Daphnia pulex: one gene and its partner. The protein of the gene in region 2 interacts with the protein of the main gene of each other region in a biochemical or structural test. Links are inferred from orthologs where the notes say so. Each region holds a gene or a part of one and is shown on either strand. Other genes may lie near its edges.

Evidence for each region.
Region 1: the proteins of eukaryotic translation initiation factor 2 subunit 2-like (region 2) and eukaryotic translation initiation factor 2 subunit 1-like form a complex in vitro, tested with the Homo sapiens proteins (2 studies listed by BioGRID and IntAct). The link is inferred for Daphnia pulex from reciprocal best matches to the Homo sapiens genes EIF2S2 and EIF2S1.

Annotation. Positions count from the first base shown.
Region 1 is NC_060028.1:8,094,954-8,098,667, forward strand, and holds eukaryotic translation initiation factor 2 subunit 1-like, read left to right. Parts: upstream 1-1,482; 5' UTR 1,483-1,644; intron 1,645-1,754; 5' UTR 1,755-1,770; coding exon 1,771-2,008; intron 2,009-2,071; coding exon 2,072-2,300; exon of another isoform or gene 2,301-2,386; coding exon of another isoform or gene 2,387-2,423; intron 2,424-2,467; coding exon 2,468-2,816; intron 2,817-2,878; coding exon 2,879-2,960; intron 2,961-3,025; coding exon 3,026-3,129; 3' UTR 3,130-3,214; downstream 3,215-3,714. Other genes in the region: uncharacterized protein LOC124208437, read right to left, coding at 1-142, 231-358, 425-537, 606-739, 814-960; reticulon-4-interacting protein 1 homolog, mitochondrial-like, read right to left, coding at 2,387-2,423, 3,244-3,422, 3,488-3,714. UniProt on the Homo sapiens protein: Member of the eIF2 complex that functions in the early steps of protein synthesis by forming a ternary complex with GTP and initiator tRNA. This complex binds to a 40S ribosomal subunit, followed by mRNA binding to form a 43S pre-initiation complex (43S PIC).
Region 2 is NC_060020.1:3,233,582-3,236,744, forward strand, and holds eukaryotic translation initiation factor 2 subunit 2-like, read right to left. Parts: upstream 1,812-3,163; 5' UTR 1,672-1,811; coding exon 1,654-1,671; intron 1,597-1,653; coding exon 953-1,596; intron 891-952; coding exon 572-890; 3' UTR 501-571; downstream 1-500. Other genes in the region: uncharacterized protein LOC124192455, read left to right, coding at 1-334; cytoplasmic tRNA 2-thiolation protein 2-B-like, read left to right, coding at 2,123-2,190, 2,252-2,326, 2,391-2,596, 2,663-3,051, 3,122-3,163.

The DNA.
Region 1 (3,714 bases), on a different chromosome or scaffold from region 2:
GAAACACTTCCGTGGGGTTCTCCATCCGCAAGTAAGAGAATCCTATTTGTCCAGTCGTTAATGGAGATTCTCTTCCTTCGGTCGCTTCGCTGATTGTTGTGATCGGCCCGTCATCAAACACCTCTTCTAGATTGAGTGTATTCTAAACAGACGTGGAGAAACACATCAGTTATCATTAGTGGCCGCGCTATTCTCTAAGTACTTTATTTTGATAATTGTGGCGATCGTACTGCTCGTTCTTCGAGGACTTCATTTGACCAAATGGCACCAATTAACAGCTTTGCGTGTACGATGTTGTAGGCAATTCCGATGACGGTGATTAAACAGAGGACGGCCGAACAAATTGCGTCACTAACACCTGGAACATTCATTCAAATTTCAATTACATAGGATCAAAGCATTCGGATATTAGTAACCACATTACAGGTCGGTCTCTCGCACGATTTGCAGCAAAGTACGAGAAGTGCGCCCACTGAGATAAGTCCCAAGATACCGAGTACGCAATAGCAAACGGCAAGGACAGCTGACGCCTTTAATCTAAATAATAAAATCACGTTACCGTTCAGAAAAACAGATGGCAGTATAGTTAATATTTTGTTATTTACAATTTGATACTTCTGTTCTTTTTAGCAGCTTTTGCAATGAATGCAGAGATCTGACAAATGCAGATGGATGGAAATAGTCCAAGACATAAAAACAATATGTAGTCTCGGCTGGGATCCATAAAACTTGCCAATATCTTCAATGACAACAACAATTTCATTTTTTAAAATTATCATTTTCCTCTTAAACTGAGTTTTGTGTGTTACTTGCCGGAATCAGAAGAACGAGCGATGGGAGAGTAATCGCACTGTTGACGGTGTACATGGATTTTAGTATTCTTCTGACTCGATTATCATTGAAGTAAACATCGGTAACTTCTCCATTATTGGTTACATCTTCTTCAGTGAACCGTATCATTTTTACGCTATAAGTAAATTACACGGTGTGCAGTGAATTTTGAAACTGGGTGATACAACAACCAAAAGAAACACACTGGAAGGTTCCACTGAATGGTGCCGACAAACGACGACGACGAATGTTCGTTTTTAATGTTTGTGTTCGTCATATTCGTGCGTATACTGTGTGCAGATAGTAACTTTTTTGAGCGTTTCTCATATAGAACGATAGGAAAGATAGATAAGAAAATAGTGCGATTGGTCAGGTCAATAGGTTTGATGCGCGATCGTTTCTATCAAACCAGCTTTCACTTCAACGTCTACTTTCTAAATGTGATACTTAAAAAAAAAAACAATTCTTATCTCAGGCCGGTCAATAAACGTTTGGTTTGGAGATGTTGTTAATGCAGAATTTGTGGTGAATATGTTCAAGCCGTAATTAAGCCATTGGATATCAATTGAAATTGGTTTCGTTAAACAAATTATGGATACATATTTATTTTTAAAACAAATCACGAAACACGGGAATGCGAATCACGTTATCGGATTGCGCACCATTTTGGCAACGCGGGACTTTCCACATGCTTTTACCGTAGTCTGCTTGTCCAGTGGATTTTCATTGCTGACGTAAGAAACGCTGCTGTCCCGGCATCACCTTATTTTTTGGATAATCCCTCACATTTATTCTTTCTTCTTAATACGTTAGGTAATTTAGGAATAGAAAAAAAATTCTAGCTTAGAGAACATAATCTTTAACGTGGAGGAAAGCTGTAATTTCGCTATCTAAAATGTCGGTATTGTTCACCATCCACCTAGGCTGCCATCGTGAAAAATGCCCTTATTTTGTCGGTACTACGGTCAAAAATATCCAGAAGTGGATGATGTAGTGATGGTGAATGTGAGATCCATTGCTGAGATGGGAGCTTATGTGCACCTACTAGAGTACAACAATATTGAGGGCATGATCTTGCTCTCTGAGTTGTCCAGGAGGCGTATCCGTTCCATTAACAAGCTCATCAGAGTTGGTAAAACAGAACCAGTTGTAGTTATCAGGGTTGACAAGGAAAAAGGTTTGTTTAATTTACTGTTTGGGTTGTTTCTTTAAATAACCAATTTTCTTCATGTCACCACAGGTTATATTGATCTGTCAAAAAGACGTGTTAGCCCTGAGGATGTAGACAAATGCTTGGAGAAGTATTCCAAGGCCAAGGCAGTAAATTCAATTTTAAGACATGTTGCTGAACTCTTGAAATATCAGACTGATGAAGAGCTTGAGGAACTCTACAGAAAAACAGCTTGGCTTTTTGAGGAGAAATCCAAAAAGCAATCTTCTTCATATGATGTCTTCAAGCAAGCTGTCAAGTAAGTTTTTTCTTTATTCAACCCCAGTTAGTTTTGTTACATTACTACATTTCACAAATTTGGCACACCTTGTTCCTGTGCAGCTTCTATGCAAATCCCTCCATACGGTTCAATGGCCGGTTCCTAAAATTTCAAGAACATAATATTAGTTTATTTTGAATATGTAGTGATCCTTCTCTTCTTGACGAATGCGGCTTGGATGACAACACAAAGGAAGTGCTACTGGGGATTATTAGGCGGAAGCTGACTCAGCAAGCTGTGAAAATCCGAGCTGACATCGAGGTGGCCTGTTATGGCTACGAAGGAATTGGTGCCGTTAAGAAAGCTTTGAAAGCTGGAATTGCCTGCTCCACTGAAGAGATTCCTATAAAAATTAACTTGATTGCTCCACCACTTTACGTCATGACTACGCAGACGCCTGAACGTCAAGACGGACTCAAAGGACTAGAATTAGCCATAGAAAAAGTGAAAGAGATAATTGTTGCACTTGGTGGCGTTTTCAACATTCAAATGGCTGTAAGTTCATCTCTCGTCTACAGATCAACAACCTAAGTATAACGCAATTTCTATTTTAACAGCCCAAAGTTGTTACTGCTATGGATGAAGCTGAATTGGCTCGCCAGATGGAGAAGGCTGAGTTGGAGAATGCTGAAATCGCAGGTAAGGATGGAGTCGGATGTATAATTACGAAAAGAATCTATATAGCTGGGCATATTTATCAACAGGTGATGACGATCAATCTGACATGGAAGCTGAGGGAGCAGGAGCCAATGACGCTGGAAGCGGAGAGGAAGGTGGCGAAGAAGGCGAAGCGGAAGAAGAAGAATAAAGATATACCGCACTCTTATTTTTTACAGACGATGGAAATTACTGCGCTTGGCGCAACTCCGCTCCGATTACACAACTTGAGTGAAGATTCTTTTGTATATTTTTTTAGCAGTACCTAAATCGTATGATGATTTTCCCGATGTGGTCACCCTGGGCGGCGTATTGTCCGGCTTGTTCAGCTTGATCAATTTCAAACACGCGCTCAATAACTGGTTGAAGATGTCCTTTGTTGACTAGATTTGAGATTTCATCCAAAATTGAGGTGGATATTACGGTCGAACCACAAATAGAACTCTAAGAACAGGTGGAAGTTAGTCATTTAATGCTTGGAAGCTTTTCAGGAGCTGGGCTGGACTAACCTTGAGAAATACGAGTTTCATTCGAAGCCACATAGAGTAGAGTGATCCGTAAAACAAGCCATATTTGTCAGACGCAGGTGGGGAGGCGACGGTTGAAACTACCAAACCTCCTTCTCGACAGAGGACACGGCACGAGTCGTGCAAAATCGAGCCAACGGTATTGAGCACAAGGTCAAACTTAGGAAGAGACGACAGCAAAGAATCAAAATCCAAATCATGGCCATTAT
Region 2 (3,163 bases):
CTTGTATATTCCTCATTATAAAGGCCAGTCGAAACTGAATGGAGGAGGATTGCTGAGCTCTGAGGCCACTGAACAACCTCCTACGCTGACACTCTCGATGGTTCCTATAATTGGAAATTGGTTTTCTCCAGTTCAACTGGAAACCACTAAGGACAACCGTGAATCGCAACTAGACCATATTTCTTTGATACAGCGTGATTGCGACTCTCCTCTGAAACAAGCATCAAATTCAACAAGCGACAGTGATCCTTACGAAATAATAGATACCGAAGCTAGCAATGGCGAAGATGTTACTTCGGAGCAACAGAACGAAGTTCCCGTCGAATGTCCTTAGACCATGGAGTTTGAGTGGAAGTAAAAATTTGTTCATAAAATATAAAATTGTAACACACTAGAATTCGTTGTAACTAAGATTATTGAAAGTAATTAAACACAAAATTGTGGCGTAAAACAATTGTGCTTATCCTAAAATTATGGAAATTTTGCTTGGAAAAAAATGGTAAAGGAAAGAAAATGTATTTCTCTCATTAATGACAAAAGACAGCACATATTTTTTTCTGTACGAAGTAATTTACGCCGTTTTGGCTCGAATGGCCGCGCGTTTTCCGGTAACGGCCTGGAAACCAGATTTGATGGAGGCTACAGAACATCTTGAACCGCATGTTTCACATTGGAGGAAGAAAAGTCGAGTATCTTTCTGAAGAATTGTATCAGGTGATCGACACGTATGACAAGTGACGTATTCTTTAACGTAACGACGTAATACGTTTTCCATCTGTTTCTGTTGGAAACGACCTTTGATGATGAGTTGATTGTTACCATCAACAGACCCACTGGTACCTAACTCAGCCAGAAGAAATGCCAATACGTGTTTAGGTTGTCGATGTAACCTGAGAAGCAAAATAATTCTGTCGTAAGAGAAGTAGTCAAAAGAGTAACAAATATAACTTACGTTTTACATATTTCAGAAAAGTTCGCGAATGACGTTTTCTTGGTTCCAATTCGCACAACCTGGGGAGGCCTCATTGTAAACTTTTTCTTTTCTCCAGCTACCATTTCAGGATTCTTCTCTCTCATGATATTAAATACTCGATTAAGAAGCTCATCATAAGTGTAATCTCCATCAGTGGTCCAGGCAACTCCAGCATTTTCCTCTGTAAAACAAATGTAAAAAATGTTGACTTTTGAATTCAAACCATAATGTATTTCTTTATTACCTTTCTCGTCTTTCTCTTCTTCAACTGCTCCAGTATTTTTCTTCTTCTTCTTCTTTTTCAAGCTTTTAGAAAAGTCAAGATCTAAATCCTCTTGATCTTCAACTGCTTCTCCTTCTTGTCCTTCAACTTCAGGTGAGGCTACTTCAGTATCTTCAAGTTGGAAAGCCTTCTTTTTAGATTTTTTCTTCTTTTTGCCAAAGCTTTCAAGATCTAAGTCATCTACTTCTTTTACTTCTTCCTCTTCAGGATTTTCGTTTTCCTTTCCTACTTCTAACTCAACCGGCTCATTGCCAACTGTTCCACCAGCTAAAGCTGCGTCAAAATCGAAAGGGGTCTTCTTGGCCTTCTTCTTTTTCTTCTTCAAAGATGGATCAAAAATCTAAAAAAAAACAATTTATATAATTTGACATGGTAAACACTCTAAACAATAACTTACTGCTTCTTCTTCTGCCATGATTAAACAATACTAATTTTGTAGCACAAGTTATTAACAAATATAACGGTGTAAACGTGTCTAGCCGGAATACCAGCTGATGCAATGGCAGACCTGAATGCTGTTTTACACACAGCTAAGCTGTTGCCATTACGTCATGTGAACCACATAAATGCCATTAAGAACTCATTGAATTGGAAGTTTAATTTATATGTTACGTATTTTGATTATTTTATGTAAGTTAGAGAATAAATTTCAAGATATTATCAAAATAAAATATTAATGTCAGTTGTTTGGCAAGCATGTTAATTAGCAGACGACATATTTAGTTATTTACTGCAACGTGATTCCTGATTCGGGAATTTTGATCGTGTAATCGTGTAAATGCGTACTCTGCCTCGTTTTGACAATCTAATTTTTTAGTAATTTGATAATTTTATATCAGCATACCTCTTACCTCTATAATAAGCTCATGATGTGTTCTATTAACGAAGAAAACTTAGCCGAAGAGACCATGGTCGCAACTCCCAAACTATCAGTGTAAGATTTGGTTATTTGCTTGTAACCCGAAACTACCATTTAAACAAAAATTGTCATTTAGTACAGATGCAATATGCCGCAGATGTAACATACTAAAGGCTCAAGTTCTTCTACGTAAAACAGATCCATACTGTCGGTGAGTCTAAAACGAACTTAAAAAAAAATCTTCTTAATTCATCATCAAAAATTTTTTGTTTCAGTGATTGTTTTATGAAGTATGCTGTCCATAAATTCCGTTCCACGATTGGGAAAGCACATGCTCTTAAACATAATGAACATGTTTTATTGGCATATTCTGGAGGATTATCTAGTGGGTCCATGGTAAAGCTTATTAAAGAAGGCTTGGATCTCTCAGAAAGTAAAAAAATTAAAATGGTGTTCAAACCTACTTTAGTACACATAGACGGTAATTCAAATTCAGTTGCCAGTATAAAGAAATCAGAATAATTCTTAGTTTCTATACCTTTCTTAGAAGGTTTAATTTTGAATCTTTCCAAACACGAAAGGAAAGAAACCACTGATTTTGTTCTTGAGCAGGCTAAAAAAAATGGCTTTGATGTTTACATCTGTAGCCTTGAGTACTGTTTAGCACCAGACCTCAATGACTTGAAGCTGGAAATGAATTCTTACCAAATCGAATCTTCTATTTATGAAAGCCAACTGGAGACGCTATTTGGTTCTGTGAAAAGTCTTACGGCAAAGGAAGATTTACTAATTCGTTTGAAACAGCGTTTGATCACACTTTTAGCTACTCGATTGAATCACGCAAAAGTATTTTTAGGTCCAAATGCTACTAGATTGGCCGGCCAACTTCTATCTGCTATCGGTCAAGGAAGGGGGGCTCAGATTGCCCATGAGATAGTAAGTTGTCGTCGATTCTTTCTACTTTATAACGAATAAATTAATTTCTTTACATTTTTCTTTACTACAGGGATTTACGGATTCTCGTACCGGTACTGTTTTTCTACGACCT